Struthio camelus: one gene and its partner. The protein of the gene in region 2 purifies or fractionates together with the protein of the main gene of each other region. This does not show direct contact. Links are inferred from orthologs where the notes say so. Each region holds a gene or a part of one and is shown on either strand. Other genes may lie near its edges. The genes, in order: PSMG2 and POMP.

Region 1 (12,433 bases), on a different chromosome or scaffold from region 2:
AAAATACACTTGAATCTGAAGCAAGTTAGATAAATTTCTTCCTTCAGAAATCACCACTGCATCAGAAGCATTAAAAAAGCTCAGCCATTATTTTTCCCCCTGAGTATTCAAGATACGTGCCAATTTGGGCATCTAAAAAGAGGGTATCAAATATACAAGCACTTAAATAGGAGAACTGTTATAGGCTTCTTAAAATGATTTACAAAAGAAATGGTGGCTATTCTTCCTTCCGATGGGAATTTATTCAATTAAAGTTAGTTAAAGTAAGCTTGGGCTTCACTTTGATATAATGTTTGTAATAAACTTAAACTACAAATATCTGCAGACTTCTGTTAAGTCTTTCAGTATTTCCTTAATGCATTACCTTCACTCATTAGTGTCTCTCTGGTATCAGACTTATTCAGAGTAAGTCACCACAACTGATGAACTCGGAATACATAAAGTAACCATCAGTCTCCCTCATTTCAGTCCATGTCTGCTGACCACTCTAGAAACTCTATGCAAAATCAATGGTAACTATATCTAGAACATGCATAGACCTAGACCTCCTCAGGGCTCTGAACATTTATACACCCTGGTGATAAGAGTTGTTCATTTTGAACAATACTTTTTTTTTTTTTTTTTTGGTAAGTCATAGATTATCAAGGCCTCGATCATCAAGCTATGCTTTTTCTTTTGTTTAACGGGTGGGGGGGGAGGCACACCTAATAAAACTCTGTGTAGTTTTTTCCTAGCAGGTAAGTATTGGTAACTGCCTATAAAAAGATACCTTACTAAAAAAAGAAAACCCAAAATGCAGAATAATTAAGAAGCGGTAAGAAATTCAAATATTCTAACTAAACGTTAAAAATCTAATCGGTGAGCTGTATGTTAGCAGCTAATCCCTGACAGCGCTTGCAGCAATAACAAACTAAGTTGTTAAAATCGAGGCTGATGGTGCAGGCCAAGCAGAAATTTACTTATGGCATATTATTTGCTCAGCATTGTCAGGAGACTAACAAAGCTCAGAGCCTAATGCTGTATAACACACTATTTTAATAATATATTAAGTATCTTATGATCTACCTACACAGTAAAGCAAAAGAACCCTGCCAAAAAGTACTAAGTATATATGCCAGTTTGCCAAAAATAACAGAAAAAACAATCAAATCATTTAAGGACACACACATACCCAAGAAGTTGCTCATCATCGCGCTGGTATGCATGGCTGCTAGACAGAAGAATAACTCTAGCACATTTGCTGGTTTGCACCCAAGAAAGCAGTGCTTGACAGAATGGCCTGTACTTGTTCTTTACGCAAAGAGAGAGGGGGGGGAGGAGAGACCAAAAAAAAAAAAAAAAATTCATGCCCTTAAGAAAAGCCACAAGTCTACAATACTAGATGTTATATTTAGTGTTCAGCAGTGAGGAAATTTTTTTTTCTTCATATCCATTCAGTCTTCAGATATATTTTTAAAAAGCAGAGGACACTGGTTGTTTACTTAATCAAAGATATATGTATAATTATAAAAATTATGAAAACCACATTAATAATAACTGTATCACTCATTCTGTGTGCCATTAATATCAACGGGAAAACCTTTAGAACAATATGGGATGATAAAATTCCACAGTATTTTCCCACAATTTAAACTGCCAAAAATACTACAACACAATTTACTCTCGTGTGGTGTTCTGCCCATTTTAAATCACAGCCACTATACAGTTAACAGTTAATTTTAACTGTTTATATATAATGAATAGAGAACAGCAGGAAATAAATGGGGGTGACAGCAAAAATTAAGCTATTTAAGAAAAGACAAATACACAAAAACAATAAATATGAAGAGAAAAATAAACAGGCGGGAAACAGACCATATTGTTTTGTCAAGACAGTTAATAACTAAGGACATATTTTCACTAAATTCTACTGAATTAGCTGAGCTGTTTCAGAGCTTGAAACAAACAAGCAAACAAACAAATCTCAACCATTAATGAATGTAGGAGACAGCTTTTGTTAGCTAAAATTTTATCAATTACGGAAGACGTTATATCACTAAGCAGAAAAACATTTTGCTTTTTTTTTAAAATGTATATTTTGCTGTTAAGACATTATTTCATAATAGGGAGCACGAATTTTTTCAGTTGTGCTTATTTTAAGATATTATAATAGAGTAAATTCTTCTAGACCATTTGAAAACTACTGGCCAGTAGAACAACTGAACTTGAACACTGAAGTGAGAACAATGAACATACGTACCTTTATAAAAGGTGATCTGATCTGCAGAACTACAAGTTTCCTTGAAGGTAATGAATACACTACAAGGAGAAAATAAAACAGTGCATAACAAAAAAAAAAAAAAAAAGGATCTGAGCTTAGAAGTATCCAGATTTATCCAATCCATAAATCTGAGGTAAACCTTTCAGCTCTCTTACCAAATTGTGAATTATTTCAGGCTTTTCAGTAATGTAAAAAAATACGTATTTTTGTGCATCATCTTCACTGAATCTAATTTCACTTGGCATAAAAACAAAGGATTGAATGAAGTAAAAATTTATTAAAAACAAAACAAAAACTATCTCCTGCAGTGACTCAGATAAACTCTTTATACAGCTTTGCAGAGATTACGACAGATTATCTCGAGATTTCCATGATTTAAAAGGAAAAAACAATATAATTTGAAATGCTATGATCAAGACACAGAAAGGAAGTGAAAACTTGAAGGTAGAAAAAAGAAAAAAAAAAACCCTCCACACTAGGAAAAGGCAAAGATAGGTGGGAAGGAAGAAGACAGGACGAATATCCTTTTATACTCTAATTTAGCTTGCATGCCATGCTTTACTGTAGGTATGGACACACTTTCCACATTATCTAGGATTAAAACTGCAGAGAGATTCAGCAGCACTGTAATATGGTTGAGATTCAACATTTCTTACCGGTTCCATGTTTCAAACTATTTATGCAAAATAACAAAAGTAAGTTTCCTCCACAAAGTGTAAATTTACATTCTTATCTGCGAGTCAGAGATTTGGTTACAAAAGTTATTATTGAACTTCATCTAAAAGGTAAGAAAAAAAAGGAGAAACATTCTTACAACTGCTTTCTACAGGCAAATATTTAAGATCTAGCTTGCATTCAATACATACCTTCAGCATTTATACTCAGCTCCGTTGAGTTTTCTTCTGCAGTTGCATATGGATTATTCCCAACCATTGGCACAAGGCAATCAGTGTAGAAGTAGCCAACTTTAGTCATGTCCAGTGTGGAAATCACGAGGTCTATTGCCAGTTGACCAACATTTCCCACTGACACTGCTGGCTGAAGTAACAGAAGTGTTTTAGCATTACAATAGTAAAGACATAATTCACTTAAAGAATTGCAGCGTGTTTTATGGACAATACAGCATGCTTTTGCAAACAGTGAAAACTTAAGTTAGCTGAATTCCGGTTAACCATATGATTTCTTAAAGTGGCACCATTTTCTTACAGAAGTTACTACTTGTTAACAGCTTACTAATATATAATGTGGTCCCTATGCCACAAATACATACTGGTTGCTTCTGTCAATAATCCTGTCTCATTATAAACTTAAAAAAAAAAAAAGGCTTGGAGACTGGTGTCCTCGTGTCCTCCCCAATCCCCCCTTTTTTGGCTACAGAGTAGATAAAAATCACTCCAAAATCTAATGCAGAGATTGGCAGCCCCAAAGTGACAGTGAATGGCAATGCCGATACTGCACGTTAAATCTATAAATACCAGATTGTCCTAAAAACACAAGTAAATTAGCATATGTTATCACCAATCAAAGCTGATGCTGACCCAATCTGAGAGCATACAAGGAAAAATTCAGTTTGCGAGTTTGTGTCCTTCTACAGAAGCTGAAAATGGAAGACAACTGTAAAATTTTCAGTTGCCTCCCACTCATTTATAAGCAAGCCCGTGCCTATGAACTGCTGCTGCCCAAGGGCCAGCAATCCTGGAAACACAAGGAATTTGATGCCGATAACCTCAGAGCGAAAAAGGATGTAACAGCAGTTACAGACCGTCATTACAAATTGCCTGGTGCTCAACAGCTTGTTATTCCTAGACAAAGAAAATAGCAATGACCTATTTCCTGTTCCCAGTCAGCTGATCTGGAATGACTTCCTGTATAAAATCTTGTACCTCATGTAAATATGCACAGTCATCAGGGGCGATCTGGCCCTGATGAAAGGCGATAAGGTTACCCTTAGATGATAAAGTAAAGGCACTTACTAATAGGAAAAATAACGGCTTGCTACTTCACAGCCTGTACTAGAATTCGTACCCTACAATACACAAAGTAACCTCTAGCAGTTTAATCTTACATCGATTTCACGTTACAAATTATTAAAGTATTTTCTAAACCAATTCCAAGCTCAGCTTAAATATAGCACAGCTAAGGAATCTGCCACTGAAGACTAGTGTACATAGCCTCTCTCCCCCCTTCCCCCCAGGCCGTTGAGAAGTTTCCGGGGCCGACCTCCGGACAGGGGAGAGGAAAGCGTCCCCGGCCTGCCGCCCCCAAAGCGGGAGCGAGCCGCGCGGACAAGCCCCCGTCCGCGCCCGCCAAAGCCTCCGACGCTGTTTCAGGCCCCAGCTGTAGGAAGCCCCCCCCCCGCCCCGAGAGCCACGGCCTCGAGCAGCAGCACGTCCCTCACCCCCGCCCCGGAGCGCTCCATTCTGGCAGCACCTCCCCACGGCCGCCTCGGCGAGAGGAGGGGAGCAGCAAGGCCACTTACCACGAGCAGAGTGAAGCCGTCAAAGTCCGAGCTGGCGGAGGGGCCGCCGCTGCCATGGTCACACGGAACAAACATGCCGGCAGGAAGAGAAAAGAGCCGCCCCCCTCCTCCTACCTCAGGCTCCCCCCCTCCCCCGGTGAGGCGAGTGGGCGAGCACGGCCGCCAACGCAACGGCCGTAACCGCCGCCGCCCTCGCTGCTCCGCCCGCGAGGGGGCGGGGCCGGGCCCGCCGCGGCGGCCGTTAGAAAGGCGGTTGGGGGCGGGGCTTAGCCCGCGGCGCGCAGGCCGGCGGCCTGGTCTTCCACCCCCCGCCCCTTTGCCGGAGTGCGGGGCGTCGCGGCTCGTCCCGCCGCCATGTCGCTACCGCCGGAGAAGGCCTCGGAGCTGAAGCAGCTCATCCACCAGCAGCTGGTCAAGGTGAGGGCGGTAACAAGGTGGAGAGGCCCCCGGGCACTGGGGCCCGTCCTGAGCGCGGAGCGACTTCGTCTACTCGGAGAAATCCCCGGTGCGTCGGTGATAGGGACCCCCCGGCCCTTGGAGGCAGCGATGCCCGCCCAGGCGGGGGAGGCGCCTCCAGCTCCGTGTCCGCTCCCTCGCCCATCCCTTTTGTTCCCCCCCCCCCCGTACTTCAGCAGGTTCATGTACTTCCCGAGGTGCTGTTTTGCCATGTTGGCGCTTGCGGCCCCCCCCCTCCCCCCAAGAGGGCCTGCGAGGATCAGCGCTCTGGTCTAACGGCCGCCTTGGCCTCCGGCCTTTCCCCGCCCTCTCCTGCCGTCCTCGCTCTTTCCCTTCGTTTCCCCTTTTCTGGGCGATGGAGCTGGCATCGCCCCCCCCCCCCCGGTGCTGGCGCTCCCGCTGTCGGGGCTGCCCCGTGGAGGGCCGGCGGAGGGGAGCGGCGTTTTCGGCCCTGTGAGAGGAGGCGGCGGGGGGAGGGGGGGAGCCACGGCGGCCGGAGGCACCGGGAGGCCGTCTGTTTGCTCGCCGCTTGTTGAGCGAGAAACTAGGGCGGGGTTTTGAAAACAGTGGGAGAGAAATATCAGTGCTTTAGCTCGCATCGCGGAAGTATCGCAGTGTCTCAGTGGCTATAGCCTTGCATCGTTCCTGTGGGAGAAACAACTTTAGGAATACATGCTGTTTCACAGCTGAGCCATCGAAGTACAGAAATTCTGGCTTTATGATCATAGAAAAAGCTTGCGATGGAGGCTCCCTATTTGTATGCCTTACCTGCAACAATCTAAAGTTTTTTTTTTCCTTTCTGTAAAAAGTAAGAGGAGGAAAAGGAGGAATTGAAGATATTGTTCCAGGGGAACACACAGATTTTATTGCTTCTCCGCTCATGGGTTTCCATTTAGATTCATCTTGCAGGTCAAACACGCAGACCTCCACAGCATCAGAGGGCTGACAGTTTCCAAAGAACTTTTGATGGTTGAAGACACATCCTATGGTGCGATAAGGATACAGTGGCTTGGGCTGTTCAGCTAGTGGAGGCTCATCAGGGCTGATAGGACGGTGGATGTACCTGATCAAAAACATTCAGTTTATTTCCCATACACACATTGCCATAAGTTTGAATTTTGAGGGAGAAGAGAAATTAAAAGCATGGAAGTTTTATAATCAATGGATTTGCAGGGCTGTTGGTGAGAAGGGATGTTCGAGGCTGGGGATGCTGTCACAAGCAGTGGAAATGCTCAGGTTTGGAATGCTCTTAACTGGTGCAGTTGCTTTGGTGAGATAGTGTGACTTGCTGCGGTACTTCTCACTAAACAATAAAAAGTTGTTTGGTACACATTTATGTGCAGAAAGAGGTATTCTTTTGGTGCAGTTATCTCTGTATTCCTAGGAGAATACCCGTTACCTTACAGAGAAACGTTTTAGTGCTAACTGTGACCATATAAGGAGCTTCATTTCTTTTATTCTTATTATCATACTTAAGCCTCAATCAAGGAGGAAAATGAAAATAAGTTTGAAGAGACCAGTCTTGCATTCTGCTGTGATACAGCTGAGTGCGAATTTAAATACTGTGGGGGTTATTAAGAAGTATTATTTACAAAGCTTATGAGAGTTTGAACATGTATTTCTAGCATATGATGAATTTTCTGTTCAGATGGATGTTCATGGCAAGATCAGAGAAGTTCTTGCTGAGACTATACGTGAAGAGTTTGCACCTGAGCATCAACAGTTATCCACGGAAGACCTGATAAAAGCCTTAAGACAGCGAGGAATCATTGATGATGTTATTAAAGAGCTTAAATTTGTAACTGTAAGTAGCTTTTGAAACATGAATGTATTTTGGTTATTCCTATTATCGACTTGATGTTATGACAGCTCTTTTACTATAAAGTGCAGACTCAATTACTTCTAAGTGCTTATATTAGCTTTACTGAGTTGTAAGTACTGAGTTGGTTTAGTGTTAATATTACACTGAAAGTACTTGTTCAGTTCCCTTACATCTTAAATCCTACAAGGCAATATATTTGAGAAACAACAGTCAGTAGAAAGAGAGAATTCTTTTAATTTTTAAGAGACAACAGGAATAGCACTGTTGCCTCACTTGATTCTTTAAGAAGTCTAATTGCAATTCCAGGAAGTGAATGACAAGGAGAGGACTTCAGCTCCAAAGCCATCTACGCATTTTGTTGACAGAGAACCACCAGTTCTGAAAAAAGGTATGTTGCTTGTTTATTTTAATGTTTGGATTATAGTTTTAAAATAAATTAAGTGCAGGTTTATTGAGCTCTTTGAATTAATATTACAGAGCGAATTGGATTCATTTAAAGTTTCCATATTGTGCAGAAATAGATGTTTTTCTTACTTGTCTAGATGCAAGTGGGTTCATATAAACAGCAGAAGTTAGTTGCACATAAAATAGCATTTATTGTATATTATCTTCCATAAGTTTTAAAATTGCTTTCCCCTAAGCACTTGTTTTGAAAGAGTTTTTTTTTTTTTCTATTCTCCACTTAGATAACAGATATTTTAAACATACTTCCTAAGATCTGTTTGTAGTTTCTTCATATTTATTGCTACGCTTTACAGCTAATATTAACCCAACACGGAGGTATCTTTACCTTCAGGTTTTGGGCGGAAAAGCTTTTCTGGAACATCTTCAGGAACCGGAGCCTTTGCCTGGCCAAATCTGTTCTACCTTCACTCTGTGTTTGCATTTTCGGAATCAGCGCTTCCGTTCTAAACCTGTCCCCTGTGCCTGTGAGCCAGATTTTCATGATGGTTTTTTACTTGAAGTACACAAGGATAGCCTGGGTAAGGAAGACTGTGAGTTTGCAGTGGATGCCGTTTTTTATTCTAACATTACAGTTATTCTAAAATGTGCTTGATATTATTTAATGTTTTTTGCCTGTTTTTATAATGTATTCCTAAGAAAAACAATTGCTGTATCAGGTTCCGCTACTTCTAGATCTAGAACTGATTCTTACCTATTATTTTCCTTCTTTTCCACTCCAAAGTAACTTTTAACCGACTTTATCCAGATGTAACAGTGAGATAGTAGTGCCAAAGATGGTAGATTCATGTTTTCCTGAACCTTGTGCTGAGAAGTGAAGAAAGGAGACCTTTTTTTTATCGTATGGAGGGAAAAGCTTCTGCGTGAGTTTAGTCTGCCTGCTAGTTGGCAAACACCTGCAGAACAGTCAGTTATCCACAGCCTATACTGTCTTTGTCCTGTTATTAGCTGGGGAACATAGTAGGGAGCTATGTGTGTTTTAAAAAACGGTTTCTGGAATAAACAGGGGAATCTTAAGGTACTGGGATAAAGGAAGAGGAGGCTGATACTGTCTGAATCCTGTAGAAATTCAGGGTAGGTCATGGAGTGTCAGAGGACAGAAAGAAGGCTAGAGTTATAGCAGGCCTCTGTGTGAGAGAGAGTGAATATACTGCGAATTCGGAGAAGACCAGGCTTTGTTAATTCTGCTGCTCATGGAACAGTTTATCTCGTAGGGTCAGAGCTTAACTACAGAGGAAGCTGCTTCCTAAATATGGATGCATAGTAAGTTGACCTGAAGTGTTACCACTTATTAAAATAATAACGCACGCATCTGCAGTTGCTTTTACTTATTAGTACATAAAAATAACTTTCTTATTTTTTAATAATATTTCAATTTTAATTTTTGTACAATTAAATGAGTTACCCTGGAGTAGGCAAATATAGAAATCTGTTTATTGCCTCTGTCAATTAATCAGTTGTAATCTTTCTGTAGCTCTGTCCTAATCTTATTTTGGTTTAAGGTGGGATTGTTGTTGCTTACACTTTTCTTAAAAGGTAATGTATGCAAGGAATGTAAATGCATATGCTTTAATTTTAAGGCGGTATTGGGATGGTAACATTCTGGCTGTCTGTGTTTAATGATGGCAGGTGATGGAAGTAAAATGGTGGATGCAACCACTATGTTATCAATATCGGATCCAGTGCATATGGTTCTGATCAAAACAGACACATTTGGTGAGACTACACTAGTAGCATCCTATTTCTTGGAGTGGCGATCTGTCTTGGCTGCAGAGAACGGTGTAACAAATGTTGCAGTTGAACTCCTTGGTGTAGGTAAGAATACACAATAAGGGTAAAATGCAAACACTTAAAATATTGGCTATTGAGCTTGCTTATAAGGTCAAAGCAGTATGCAGTTTAATTATGGTTAGACTCATGAATTGATATAAGGTATCTTTAGAAAACATTTATATAGGAGACCAATGGTCAGATTTTTCACTGTTATCAAGATACTAAAAGTGTGTATTCTAGACCCTCTGTCATAGTGGTCCCCTTGTCAGATGGGAACTCTCCACTATGTGTTTTTTGCAAAATCTGCATAAGTTATCAAAGCTTCCTGCCTCTTCCCCGCATTCAACTGATTAATATCCATGAAAATCTCAGGCTAGTGTACTGAAGAGTAAAATCTAGTGTGTCCCTTTCACAGCAAAGTAGCAGCTGGTAGATGAAGTTTTCTCTGCTGTGCTGCCATTTGTTCTGGTTGCTGGAAACACGTTTCTGCTAGAATGGAGGACCAGCTTTGTTTAAGTGCTTCACAGTCAGTATACATGTGTATTTTTATGTATTGCTTCTGCATATGGCCCTTTAGGAGTTTCCAGGATATTATGATTTAGTAGATAAAGACTAGATACAGGGCTAAATCTATTATGACTTCCTACTCTAGCTCTCCCAGAGGCTTGGCAAGTAGTAGTTGATGAGCCATTTGAGCGTTCTTTATCACAGTTTCTCGACCTGTTAGGCAAGCAGTCCTTTCTAATTTCATAAGATATTATATCTGCAAAGTATTTTGAAAATTTGATTTACTATGTAAGTTATTCCTAAATTTTATCTCTATTACCTGCTTTTTGGGGGATGGTTTAGTGCAGTGTTTATCCACTGGACACAAATCTAGTAACCTTATTTACTAATATTTTTTTTATCAGCATTAGTTACTTTTGGATATGCTGACTGTTGACAAAGCGTACTAAGTAATACGGCTTTGGGTAGGCTTTCAAGTAGAGAGGTTTTCGTCTATAATTATTTGGAAATGCATACAAAATAATTTGAGCATGATACTTGGGGGAGAAGGGGAAGTTAAGTCTAATTACTGTTAATTCTTCTGAATAATGAAGAAACAATATCTAAATCCAGTGCTTTTTCTCTTCCGAAGTCTTGTCATTGTACAAAATACGTCAATAATATGGAAAGATACTGTCATCTCAGATAGACAAACTCCTATATGAGGCTTCTGTTACTCGTATTACTTATAATCCCATCTCTCTGATTTTTTTTTTCTTCTTACTGTTTATCTAATTCTAAATGTTGAGCTTTATGCAGCAATAGTGTTTTTGTTTTTTTGACTAATGTATTATTATAGCGTACTGGGTCCTTCATAATACAATGTATCTCAGGGAAGATTAACTTAACTCAGTTTTAACTGCCTACGTCTGATCTACCTGTGTGGTCAGTAGAAACAGGCACTTTTTCAGTGTGATTCACCTGATCTATTTTAGGTACCTATTCTAGGCACATCTAGAACGCTACTCATCATATATCCTGGTGTTGGCTGTAAATGGAACTTGGATAATTGTCTAAGATGTAGATACCTCTCTTTTCAGTCTGATTACCCTTTCTTTCAGTGTCATTTGGCTCATTCTAGTGTGACATTTAAATAAAGATACTTATTTTGCATATGTTGAAAGGCATTATTTTTTGTACTTCTTGTTCCTGTATGGCTGGAATGTTGTAAGTAAAAAGATTTTGAAAAGACTAATCAAAATGTATTTTGATTCTAAGGTACAGAATCAAAGGTTTCTGTCGGTGTTTTAAACATCAGGCTTGAAATGTATCCACAGCTAAATAAGATGCTGTCTCCAGAAATCACTAATACTCAAGTAAGTGATTTCTGGGTGGGCTGACTTTTTTGTTTTGTTTTATATGGGCAGGGGGAGAGGGAAAAACTCAGTATAGAATTACTCACGTAGATGTTAATGCCGGTGAGGTTTTTGAATGTCTCGTATTAATTGTTTTTAATTTGATTACATTATAATTACATTTTCTTAAACTATTTTTATATACTGATCATTATGTGAAATATTACTGTAGCAGTTTTCAAATTACCTTTATCAAAACCTTAAGAAGAAAAATAAGAAAGATGCAATGCGCTTCAACTGCACTGCAATTTTCTGCAGATAGTAGCTGTGTTTCCTTGCTCTCTCCCTCATCTGAAAAATCATTTAAACAGTCAGTTTTCCTGCTTGTAAAGCCAGTAAATGTTGGCCTGCAGGTAAATGCAGGTTTTCTTCCACACTTCACAAGCCGAGCAATCCTGTGCAGAAACGTGTTGCTAAAGAGGAACACCGTTTCAGTCAGGCTTGATATATGAGCTTACATGAGCCTTCTAATAAGAAACATAACTTGAGGTTTTCATTCCTTGAATTCTAGTTTGAAAATACAATTCTTCATTTGTATGGCATGTTTTAAATATTAAAGCTTTATTTCACCTCTGCCAGGATTTGATGTTAATATATTTATTAATTTCTGATTTTTGTCTTTGGAGTTAATATATGTGGGATTGTTTTGTTTTTGTTTTCTTACCTGCAGTTTTCTTTGGAACGTCAGAAAACAGCAGAAAAAGAACGATTATTTCTTGTATATGCTAAACAGTGGTGGAGAGAATACCTACAGATTAGGCCTACGCACAACATAAGGCTAGTAAAGATTTTTGCACAGGTTTGTAAATTCTACTAATAGAGCAATCTGTTCTTATCTTATTTTGTAGATATCTTATATTTTGTACATCTATTTTGAAGTTTCTATGTGTGTAGAATGTGTATAGATTTATGATGTGGTTACAGTCAGGTCAGGGCTACAGCTGGTGTAGCATGCAAAGAATGAAGTTTCTGAGGATTGAACTTTTACATATTATCGAAGCTTAACGATACAGAAATAAGGGCTACGTTACAACCCCCAGTGTACAAATTAAAGTTGGTTTAGTCTTTCCTTTCAGTTCTCACAAATGACAAAGACTCAAGTGGTTTATACAAACTATTTCAAACAGGTTTTATACCAGCTGAAACAGTTATAAAAAGTAGACATGCTACATGATCCACTCAGTATTTGAGATCTGTGTGGCCTGTAAAGTAATTTGGCCAGTTAGAATTGCAGGCTAGCTGTAGACATATGAACAAATTATACTAAGGGAATAAGTTAC
Region 2 (12,510 bases):
AGAACTAAACAATATAACAGTTCCCAAATTTTACCATTCCATTAATCTCAAGTAATTTTAGATAGCTCACAAAACATTTGAAAGAAAATGTATTTACCATTAAGAATATCCTCAAAACCAATGCATTCATCATTTCCCCTCAGAGTATCCAGTGCTATGTTTGAGCTGTGAAGAAATGGGAGGCGCTGGACCTGTAAGAAGACAGCAAACATTAAAGTTCGTGCAAGTCTGCATTTAATTTTTTTATATTTGGATTTCTCAGTCTCAAGTGACTGTCAAAAGTAACAGGCAAAGTTACTTCTTCCTTTGAAAATAATGATAAAAATAAGAAGGCTACTGGCACACACTTATATTAAAACCTACTATATTTGCAGCTTTCACTGTAGTTATTAAGAAATGTAGGTGTTTTTCTGTTTGTTTTCTGCAACCTCCCCCCTTAGTATTACCACACAGCATGGCTTATCTCAATTCACAACTGCATTCACTACTGATAGTGAAACTCCAGTTATATTATGAATGCATTTTACAAATGCAAGTATCCCGTAGCTGTTCTCTTCACGCACAAAATAGTTTGCAGGTAACTACAGCTACTGGTACAAGGGTGAGAGGTTCCAGTACATACAGTATTCCCCTTCATTTTGGAAAGGTGAAATTAAACCACAAGATAGCTTGTATATCTAACATGAAAGACAAAAGCCTGGAGTGAACAATCTTCTGATCACCAGATCTTTTCCCTGCTCAAGAATGCCTGTACACTGTAGAGTGCCTGTCAAGAAGGCACTCTAGCAGGATCTTTGTCCTCACCTGCCCCATTTTCTGCCACGTGCTAGCTTCTGTTAGGAAAAAGGTCTTTCCTCACAAGACAGCACTGCTGAGATCAAGGGATGTTTTCGTATCTCCTGTCTGCCTTTTGCATCTTCAAAAGAAGAAATTTCTACCAAGTTTTATGCAGCTTACTGTGGCTCACCAGAAACACGATCCACTGGAAGGGAACATATAACTGCTCCAACCCACTTGGAAGAGAAATCTTTAATTGACTTCACAACCTTCAGCAAGCAAAAAAACAGAACAAAATCCCAACCAACCAAAAACCAACTAACCAAGAACCCCAACTCACAATAGTTTACTAGGACCAATGAATTTTCTACGCTTCTAAGGGACAAAGTCAGCCTCCAGCTCCTCTCTATCACAGGAGATAAGATGGGAAAGAAGGGAGACTCAGCTTCCCAAATAAAGCTAAAACCTTTGCAGCTAGCTCACCAAAGAGCTCCCCTGATCTTACAAGGCCGTGGAATAAGAAGGACAGAGAAAATTCTGTTTCATGTTGCAAACTACCTTGATGTCCGCTCCCAAATCACTACCTGCTTTAGACCTTTACGTCTCTTTTCCCTGCAGACGCAAAGATTTCTTCTCATAAAGCTCATGTGTTCCACCGAGGAGAGTTCAAATTTTAGGAATTAATACTGAATTCTCCTGCTTTTCTCCCAAGGCTTGCAGGAAGTTAGTCCACACATAAAACCTGATATGCTTTTCATTTCACCAAGTAATCACTAAAACAACAGCAACTGAAAGGTTTTAGGATATTGACTGTTCTGGAAATTATGAATTGCAATGTTTAGGTCAGTTTTTTGTTAATAACACCAGTTCAGTGTAAAAGTTTCTCTTTGAAAGAGAAGACTGTTGTACTTTAATAGAGAAATATGGCTTTCCAAAAGCTTATTTATCCAGATAAAAATTCCTTCCAGTGATTTAAATTATACCAGTTTGATAAAAACGCCTACCTGTTTCACTGCTCTGAATTCCATCTGCAGCTTTAAAGGTGCATGGAGTCCTTGAATATTTCTCAGTGTGGAAAAGTTTGTTTTATCTTGATTCAACTGGAACTATCACAAAGAACAATTTTTTTTTTTTAAATAAGAGCTACTTTCAAGTACGGTCATAGAAGAGATTGCGACATCCTGCTTAGATAAATATGCTCACTGAAATTTAGAAGTAAAAATTCAGTGATACAGTCGTAAGTGTTTAAGTCACTGAAACTGCACTCAACTAGATTGCTTTTATTATAAATTAAAAGTAGCAATTTCATTTTTTTTTCTTTTTGACAATTAGAACATGCAACCCCACCAACTGGTTTAGTTGTGTACTACTTTAAACCAAGCTTAACTTCCTATTTTTGTGCTAATACTGTAATAAAGTAAAAACAAAGCAGAAAGCAACAATTTATATTATTTTTAGTCACTGAAGACTGTAGTTTAGAACATTCGAAATATATCTTTTCTGATCACGCAGAAAAATAGAGCATCACATACACTCTGCATGACTCAGGAAAACAAAAGATAGCTCTTATCTTACCAGCTGCTCTAAAACCAATAAATAACATGAAGAACATGCACATATCCATTTAGTAGCAAGTTCTAACAATGAAAAAAATGCTGGATCATGAATCCAGCACACACACACACAGACGCAACACTTATGCTCAATATTGCCAAAGCTTGAGTAATCATCTCAGCTTTGGCTTTTATGTTACTAACTACATGCCTCTAAGACACTACTGTAAAGTAAAACAAACCAACCAACCAAAAAAAAACCTCCTTATTTTAAAAGCTGTACTCATAAAGACTGTGAAAAATTCTACTGGTGTGAGATTATCATCATATTTATGCTAAGCGATCTCAGGAACCAAAAGGAATACAAAAATCAATGGCATAACATGCACTTTTCTTGAGATTAATCCATATTGAATTTTCTTTAAAAGTTAACTGAAAATACTAGTTATACTCCTCATCCCAAACTTATAATTTCGGTCACTTTTTTTTTTTCTTTTTAATTAGAAGTAGAGGGTGCTTAAATGGGTAGAAAAAAGATTTGGTTTCTGCTCATGCTACCTGAACAGCCTACCTACATTTATAGCAGTAAAACCATCCACAACTATTCCAGGCTTAAGAAAGTCTTTTTCCATTCAAATGTAAGTGAAAAATATTTATTAGAGAAATCCGCCATAAGTTTCCAGAAAAAAATCCAAAAATAATACATGGAAAAAAACAACTTAAAGATTCCATATACTTCTTAGGGGCCCATGTCATCTGTTTTTATTTTTTTTGTGCATTTTGTTTCGCTAGCACACAATCTTATGTAGGTTTCATATGGCAAAAGCAGTTATAAAAATTAAATTAAGCAGTCAGTGGGGGAAAAAAATAAAACAAAACAAACAATTGTCAGATGACCCTGAAACAATTATAATACACAATTAAAACTACACTCTTGAAGCTGATATCACATTAATATCATTCTTTTAACTGGTGACAACATTAGCACTGCCTAGAGTACATTAAAGTTTGACATCATCATAATGGTTAGCCTAGTATTTTGGAACATTATGTTCAAATACTGCACTTGCTTCAGGACACCAAACTGTATCAAAAGCTTCTGTGCTGACAAAACAGGCACCAGAGATGAGATTCAGCCTAACCAGTTATTTAGCCAAGGCTATGAATCCAAGTTCCCTTCATGGCAATGGAAACCTTTAACCTATGGTCCACAGACCATTCCTAAGCAGTCCACGAGAGATGACGAAGTTGGACAAGACTGCATACGCTGAGAACAATCTGTTTGTGGAGAATTTGTAAATGGGCTTGAGCAATTCACTAAAACATATTTATTCGTTCACAAACTGAAAGTATGAAAATGAAGACATATGGTAAACAAAGACAAAATAGGAAGAACAGCCTTCTGTAGGTGGCAGGTGTCCCTCTCTCTCCCCACTAACAATAGAGGCTGCGTACAGAACTAACTTACCAACTTTTAATTTAAAAAGTTTTCTGAAATGAAAGTTATTGAAATAAAGCCCAACTTGGAAGTCCGCTTAGATACTTGAAGTGGAGAGACACACAAGTGGGAAGTTACATGTTAAACAAATTTGGCAAGAATATTACTGGCATAAATAAAATGTTATTGCTGTCGAACATTTTTATTTAATTAAAAACAGGACCTTACTCATTCCTGGCTGCTGCACAAAGCAGTGCAGGTAACCATACTGTTAAATTAAACTTCCTAATTAGTTAAGAGTGAGGATGACTACATTTGATGTTATACTTGCATTTTTTTCTGACAACTCCAGTGGATGGCTGGGCAACAATTCATTTTTCACGCTTGTAAAGCTAAAAATGTAGACAAAACAATGTAATTAACAGAAAATTAATCAGAACACCATTCTTTAAGTTGCAGTGCAATACTAATTCCAGATATAAACATCAATCCACAGAGACATGAGATTAGCATAATTTCAGCTATTCAAAAATGATGCTTAGTGGCGAAGAAGCAGAAATGAATTCTTAATTATAGCATTGTCAGAAGGAAAAAAAAACCAAAACCTTGTATAAGATTCTCAGGCATCTTCTTTTCCTTCAGTTTTATATTTGATATAAAGGAATGATAATTTTTTCTCCTTGACCCGCTTCAGAAATAGAGAAACATATCAATAAACTAAGTAGGTGTGCAGTTAATGTAGAAGAGTCTCAATTTTTTCTAAATTTCTTCAGACTAAATACTGCACATACTTTCTCCCCATAGCTGTTTCACCTGCATTTTAAACTCCATGAAGTTGTTGCAGATTCAATACCCAATACATGTACATGGTTTTGCCACTCACATGAATTGTTAATAAGAAATACTATTTTTATAAAATTTACTTTCTGTACCAATCTCAAAATCAATCATTTTGTGCAGTTCTATGGCACATTCACACATACATATATATATAAACTAGCACATATTTCATAATGATTAAGACTTTGTCATTATTCTCTAAAAAGGAGCATCAAATGGGTCTAAGTCCATTAACATTATCTACTTCTGGAAGTGATGTTTCACAGAAAATTAAAGCTTGAATGACAATCTGACTGAAAACAGGTGCTTTAGCCACAGGTTAAGAGATACATCTACAAAGAACTTCTTCAAAACCACAAATATTTAATATGTTTTTTCATATATTTTAAGCTTCACATCAACTACTGCACAATTTGAGAAGAAACAATAAAGCACACCCTCTACGCAGAAGATCATGACCTCCAAATGGTCCAGCAGGTGAAAATTCAGTAATCGGGATACTATCCTTCAACAGAGAAGTAGCTCCTCTGGAATTCTGGAACAAAGAGTGACGATTACTTTTACAGAACCAGGCCCCATTTGCCCCTAAACAAATGAAAATTACGAAGATTCTACCAACTTTTTACTAAATAGTTCAAAAACTCCTCAAACTACTCAGGCACAAGTCTTAGCCTTCAGAGTTGCTTTGGGTGGAGTGATGGGGAAAAAATCACTAGGTTAGAATGCTTTCAGAGTCTGATGATACTTAAACATTTCTGGGAGCTGGCTAAAGCAGTTAAAAACCATAATTACCCTTGTTCATTCCCAACCCTGTGCTGCAGCGATGGGTGGGGAGAAGTCAGGTCACTGCCCAGCTGATGGGACACGTCTCAGTATTCCTTCAATCATGCTAGTACAGAAACAATCAATTGCAACCAAACTGGTTTTATCTACCATTTAAGGTTGTCCTAAAGAGAATAAGATGTATTCATCCATTCTATTACATCAGTTAACTGGAAGAGCAAAGAAGAAATGGCAACTTGCAGCAGACGACCAGATAAGACACATCTCCATGGACTTAGTAAGTAAAACCATCTTAACCCGCATCAGCGATTTAAAGCTACAACAGCTGATGACATTGAAGGATTTTTAGGACTGTTGACACAAACTAATCCATCAACAGATCAATTAGTAACAATCTCCGGATGGTGACAGCAAGGAACTGCTCAGCACAGGTGTTTCTTCCATCAGTTTTGTTGGGTCCAAGAGAAAACACATGCTCACAGTTAAGTCTCTTGAAACAATATACTACCATTGTGACTGTCAGTAACCTAAAGGCTATCAGAAAATCCTAAAATGTCTTCTACTGTGTCTAAAGCATCTACGAATTAATGTACTCAATAGTGATCTGATCTGAGATTGCTGCAAACAAAAACACGTAAAAAAGACTATTACCTAAAAGGTATAACAAGAGGGGCAAAGGTTTAGGAGGATCGAAGTGAAAGAAAGTAAAAAGAAAGCAGAAACCCGGGAAGTACTTCCAAAAAGCGAACCCCTCAAATCACGCCAGCGACCAGTCCGGCTCAGGCGGCCCCACCCCCGGTAAACACCACGAAGGCTGGAGGCGCGAACTCCGCCACCCCGCCTGCCGCTCGCCCCTCCAGCCCCGGGCTCCCGCAGTGCCGGCACCACCGGCGGCCTTGGCCTCCCTCTCCCTCCCCAGCTCCCAGAAGAGGGGCTTTAAACCACAACCAAGCGGTCCCGGGCGCCTTCCCAGCCGGGGACACCGCCCTGGGCGGGCCGCCGCCTGGCAGGACGCGTGCCCGCCATGGCCGCGCCGGCCCCCAGTGACTCAGCACAGCGCGGCGCCCCCCGCCCCAAGGCGGCGCGCGGCGGCCGCCGCCCCGCCGACCGTTGGGACCCAACGGCCGCGGCGGGGGCGCGGGGAGGAGGGGAGGGAGCAGGCGCGCGCCTCCCCCCGCCACCCCGGCGCGAGCAGCACAACCGACCCCTCACTCACCATCTTGGCCCGACACCCGCTTCCGCTTCCGCCTCCCCCGCCTCCTCACTTCCGCCCCTCCCCCGGCGCGTTGCGTCACGCGCAAGGAGCGGCGGCCGCCCCAGCCAGCGCTGGCTCGGGGAGAGGCGGGGCCTGGCGGGGAGGGGCGGGGCGGCGGCTGCCCCGCGGTGGCGGTTGGCGGCGGGAAGCGCGAGGGGCCGGCGCCTGGCAGGGCCTTGCCCGGGGTCTGCGGGGCTTCCCGCGCCCGTTTGACGCTGGCCGTCAAAAAACAGCATTTTTGATGCCACCCGAAGTCCCCTCCGCTGGCGCCTGGCTGCCCGCCCTAGCTGTGTGGCGGCGCTGGTTGATGGGGGGCTGTCGCCTTGCGCTTTTCTGTGGCCAAGCTTGTCGCCCCTCAGCAGATGGCGGGCAGGTGGTGCCAGCCAGGGGAGGCGCCTGAGTGACCCCCACAGCGTCACCGCGCTGGTGGCTCGAGAGAGGGAGGGAAGGAGCCGCGCTCCCCGAGCTGAACGCGGCCTTAGGCTGTGTGCCGGCCCCTGAGAGATCTCCCTCTGCGCAGACGGCTCTTGTGGCGCCCTGTTTTGCCAGGGACTTGGTCCTCTGCCGGTGACCGGCAAGGACCGGCCCACGGCAAGTTTATCTTTGGAAAGGTTCACAGCAGCAACAGTAACAACGCAGGAACTGCGTACTTAAATAATTTTGGAAGACTTTCCAACCATCGTTAGAAAATTTGCCACAGATTTTGCTGCGCTGCTCCAGATGTGCATCGAGCATATCTCTCACATATGTCTTCTGAGACTTGTGGTTTGCTCAGCACGTTTCACATTTTGCCCCAGATTGCCCTGCTGCTACGAATTTCATACATGGCAGTTAAAATGAACACTACGTACTGTAGAAAAAGTGATATTAACATGGGAGTTTTATATATATATATATATATATATATGTATTGATAGCACACTCAGCTTTGGATAATATTTAATTACAGAGAAATTCATACCCTTTTATTGTTATCCTCTTTCTTCAGCAGAATCAGGTCACCAGTTCAAAAATCTTTCCGAACTGAAGCTACGGCCCTTTACGTGAAGGTCTTCGGTTTAAAGCAAAGACTTCAAAAGAATAAAAATGTAAGACTGGGTTTTAAAATTATTTTTAGGAAAATGGGTACCACAAAGGCTTCTCTGATCTTGTAATTATAATGGGTACTCGGATATTGTGGTGCTGGGTTCATTATTATAGAATAGATGTGAATACAAAAAACAAATCAACTTCCTGTTTTAACTGCAGCTTACAGAAAAGCTAGGTTTGTCACTAAATGTATTTATTTATTGACTGAGTTTGTTGATCAGGATATGACTGCGGAGATGAAACATCTAACTTTCAAAGTCATTCTTGCAGGACACAGACAGGATACAATCACTCCATGTACCATTATTGACATCACTGCAATCCATAGTTTAGGCTGCATAACTAACATAAAAGAATGCACATTGCGAGAAAGATCTGGTTTTCCTTTAAAGACAGACTTTCACGCTAGGGAAAACTCCCAGACATAAACACAAATCACAGATATGTTTTCTCATCAAATTACCAACTGTTTTAAATATGAGCAAAGTTGGATTTCTTGCACAGCCTGTTTTAACGATCTTACAGTGAATATCTTAGTACTGGATGACTGTAATATCTCTCGTTCCTATGACCGTATCTGTGTCTCCACTGCACGTTAATAGGAATGATAGGAGCAGTTGTCAGGCTGATCAAACTTTTTATCAGAAATGAGAACCTGTGGTGAGCCATGAGCGCTGCAGTTACTGAGAAGCAATGGGTATGGCTACCCTTTCCTGAGCTGGCCTGCTGCCCTGCGGACCCGGGCAGTCTCTCTGAGAACATCTTCCAGGCTGCTGGTAACAAGACGGAAAGTGGGATGCAATGATTGTGGCTGCTGAAGAGGTTTTCTTTTAGACCGTATGCACACCCTAAAATTAGTGTGAAAATTACTGCTACTGCTCTAAAATTATTACCCTAGTAAAGTTTTGGCGGTGAATTTCACATGTTGCTTTTAAAGACAACCTTAAAATTATTGGGTTTTTTAGGAATAAAAGGTTTTCCTTTCAACATTTTACATAAAGAAGGCCCAAAATGTATGCATGTTTTAAATTTCTTTCTGCATGTTTCTTACCTCAGCATTTTTGGAATGTCAAATCTGGTCTCTTTGGTTTAGCTGAGGGACTTCACTGAGATTTCAAGAGATATATAGACCATGAACTCTTGTATGTTTTAGAAATGAGGAAAGTGTTGACTCTTTAAAAATACACACTTGTTTCAAATACCCTTTCGGCAATTCAATTGGCATTAACAAACATAAAACCTCGTTAAACAAGGGTTTAGCCAGCCTGACTTAACATGCATTCCAGCCTCGATTGCTTAGCTTTTTCTTGCCTGGGTGCCAGCACGGCATCATGTCATGAGGGGTCTGTACTTTTGCCGCTGAAGTCTGTGGCAGCGACTTTCCAGGTGGACTGGAAGCTCATGCTGACAGAGGCCCGGCTGGCTGGGCAGAGGCCGGCACATCCAGGCCTGCTCTGCCCAGGATCTAGGGAAGCCAGCTCTACTCTAGGGACTCTACTGCTCCGTAATTTTGAGCTAGTATGTCCAGCTTCTCCACTGAATTAAACGGTACTTTTACCTCTCCCATTCTTGGAACTTTTTTATATATTAAAATCAATAGATGGAAGAGAGAGAAATACCCATTTTTTAACACCATGGGTCCTATTTAATAATAGCAAAAGGAGTATATTGTCCAAGGAAACTTGTCTTTGTGTCAACATTTACGAATACTGATGTAGCTTTGTCGCTTTTCAAAATATAATTCCTTTGCCATATCAGTGGGCAGTCTGTTCTGAGTACGTGAACCTCTACCAGAAGCAAACCTTTATCCTGTGGGGCTGGGAAACTCTTTCACTGGTTTCTGTCAACAGCCAGTTATAACCTGTTAAAGTGAAAGTACTTTTTATTTGTTTTAATCAAATCAAATAAACACATTTTCTTTGATCTTTAAGAAGCCCTTTCTTGTTAACTTGCTTTATACTTTTATGTTTCAGTATTCATTGTAAATCTAATTATTTTAAAAGTTATTTTGTTTTAAATTATTAAACCTTTTCTGAATTTAAGATAAACAAGAGCATGTTTTGTTAAAGATTAAAAATAAATTTCACACAAAACTGCAAAACGTAGCAAAGATAATAATGTGTAGGCGTCAGAGTGTTCCAAAACAAGACTCTCTAGGGGCTCTTCTAAACACATGGCTACGTTAAAACCATGTTCTGAAAAGCCTCAGGAAACCCCTGACTCTAACCCACCCTTTCCTGAAACTGGTGAAAGTATTTAGAAAAAAAGTTACTGTTGCAGAGGAAAAAAAAAAAAAGAATCTCACTTATTGCCAAAGCAGATGATTTTTTCCTGTTTGTTTATTAGCAAATCCACAGCTTGCTGGATTTTTTGGGTCAAAACGTGCTCATCCTCATCCTTCAAATCCAGCAAACAGTCCAATATATGGCAAAAAAGGTCCATTATCACCTCTCTATGAAAGGTAAAACTAATGTGCTTGTAGCTACCCGTGGGTAAGTAATACCAACGTTCCCTTGTTCCATCATTTGATTTATGAATTATTAGTGAATTTTAAATGAGACAGTAATGTCTTTTCTAAAATGTCTTCAGTTGCTGTTTCGGAAGATGAAACAAGGACTGCCAATTTTTTTTCTAAGTCAGGTAAGGTACTTGGAAAGAGGCCCTTGTCGTCTTGAAGCGATAACTTATTTCATAGCTTGTCAGTGCTTTTGTAAGTCTGTGACTGGCATCCGTAATCTTTCCTCTTTGTTTGTAGCAGTCCCCTGCACAGACTCTAAGAAATCTGGGCTTCTGTTTTCCGTGCTCCTTCTGCGGAGCCGGGAAGGCAGGAGGCTGCAACGGGGAGAGCCGGTCACTAGGGGCTGCTCGGTAGCCAAGCTCGCTGCGCCGCCCCTGCCTCCTCGCCACTTGCCAGCCGCCTCTGGTCAGTCTAGCTGGGCATTAGATGCTTGTGGCACAGTTAGAGTAGTTTTACTCTTCACTCGGAGGATCGGCAAAAATAGGGTCAAAGGATAAAAAAAGAAAAAGGTATATGCAAAGCTAAAGCTGCACATGCAGTAACCAGGAGAATGCTGGTGGGAGTATTTCTCTATTAATAGTCTGAATCATCTACTTTCAATATGCTGTATTACACCCGTGTAGCAATATTCATCTTAAATTACTTCTTCAGCCCAAGTCGCATGTTTTACCTAGCTAATGTTCGTGTAGTCAGGACCTCACTGCTCACAGGCAATGCCGAGAATGAGAATTCAGAGAAGGATATTTTTGTCTTTTCTCTGAGTTTGGAGAGAGTGACTGGCCTCCCAGAAGCATAACCATCCTGCACATATAGGTGAGACTAAGCACATTTCCTGTGAGAGTATCTTCCTAAGGGAAACCTTGAAAGCAATTAATAGTAGTCACAGCTGAAAGACTTGAATGGAACATTACTTCCCATTCCTGCTACTGTGCAGGGAAAAAATCCCCCAAGAGCTTGCCAAAATGCCTGACAGCAAGAGGGGAGTCTGAGACTCCTCTGAGTCATAGCCATATCCATTAAACAGCAAGATAATTAGAAGTCACCTTAACTTCTTACAGCTGAAGACGTTTTCCACATAAACGTAGGTATCATTAAAAATAGTGTTTCTTTTCACCGTAAGAAACTGTCAACAGAAAAATTTCTCCACGTTCTTTTTCTATCATTTTGAAAACAAAAGAGTGGCGAAGCTTCTGATCCAGCCACAATGTGCTTCTTAAGAACGCTATAATTAGTCACATAGATAGAATGGTGATGGCTGGTTTAGAAACAGTTAAGGCTCAAATCTTCCAAGGTAATTCTGCGTTGAACGCTTCAGGATGTGAGCCAAAGCGCCTCGTTTTAGCCAGCAGAAGCAGAAGTGGGTTTAGAGCCTCCTGAATTTTGGCCAAGCTTGGACTTAGGTCTGAGTTTGATGACTCACTTCTGATAGAAAATCACAGTTTGTTTGCGTATACATAAACAGAAGTTGTAGCTTCCAGTAAGCAGCCTGTGTGCAGACCCTGGCACTTGTGGAGAGCTGTCCTAAAGTTCACAGGGTTCCACACAGGTGCAATGCTCCAACTGAGTGGACTTCACTGAATCAAGACTCAGGTGAAACAACAATGTCATTTTTGTACAGAAGAATTATTATAGTGTTTCTCCGGGAAGAACTTTTGCTAAATTCAAAGCCATTGCATTGTAAAGGGTGTTGACAGTTAATAAATCGTTTCTATGCAGAGAATAATGTATTTAGAATTCTATTTTTATTTCTTTTTCTGGAAACTATGATTGTACATTTTCCATGGATGATTTTGTTCATACTTCCTAACTGTATGTTTTCAACACAATTGGTTGGACTTTTTTGCTCTTTGTATTGCGTCTCTTAATTCTGAGGCTGTACAGCTATCTGCTTTCTGGAATGAATTACTTTTGTTTGTTGTATTTGTTATATTAACAACTTAAATTGTGTTTGTGTTCAGATTTGTTGTTGGAAGATGCTAAAAGTGTGCTGCTAGAACATTGTTTTACAGTGAGAGATTTCCTATTCAGCTTACATAGCATCAGTAGGAAGTGCCTGTGACAGAAACTGTCAGTGAATTTAAAAAGTGGCAGCTCTATACTTACTCGAAAAAGAACGCCGCCTCAGATAGCCCGTGTAAGTTTATCTGCACAGAGTTATTTCAGCACATGTCATTACAACGTTGTGGAGGTTTTATTATTTAACATGTTGAAGTGAAATTGAGAAGAAAGGAAACAAAGTAAGATAATACCATCAGGC

What was found.
Region 1: the proteins of POMP (region 2) and PSMG2 purify together in Homo sapiens (co-immunoprecipitation; 6 studies listed by BioGRID and IntAct, counting the BioPlex papers as one, with this or other methods). This does not show direct contact. The link is inferred for Struthio camelus from reciprocal best matches to the Homo sapiens genes POMP and PSMG2.

Annotation. Positions count from the first base shown.
Region 1 is NC_090943.1:113,582,794-113,595,226, forward strand, and holds the start of PSMG2 (proteasome assembly chaperone 2), read right to left. Parts: upstream 4,983-12,433; 5' UTR 4,815-4,982; coding exon 4,740-4,814; intron 3,299-4,739; coding exon 3,127-3,298; intron 2,299-3,126; coding exon 2,240-2,298; intron 1,291-2,239; coding exon 1,172-1,290; intron 1-1,171. Other genes in the region: CEP76 (centrosomal protein of 76 kDa), read left to right, coding at 5,094-5,156, 6,844-6,999, 7,324-7,405, 7,776-8,000, 9,109-9,294, 11,017-11,114, 11,824-11,952. UniProt on the Homo sapiens protein: Chaperone protein which promotes assembly of the 20S proteasome as part of a heterodimer with PSMG1.
Region 2 is NC_090942.1:200,245,427-200,257,936, forward strand, and holds the start of POMP (proteasome maturation protein), read right to left. Parts: upstream 6,742-12,510; 5' UTR 6,611-6,741; coding exon 6,608-6,610; intron 5,144-6,607; coding exon 5,046-5,143; intron 4,161-5,045; coding exon 4,100-4,160; intron 1,884-4,099; coding exon 1,782-1,883; intron 192-1,781; coding exon 98-191; intron 1-97. UniProt on the Homo sapiens protein: Molecular chaperone essential for the assembly of standard proteasomes and immunoproteasomes. Degraded after completion of proteasome maturation. Mediates the association of 20S preproteasome with the endoplasmic reticulum.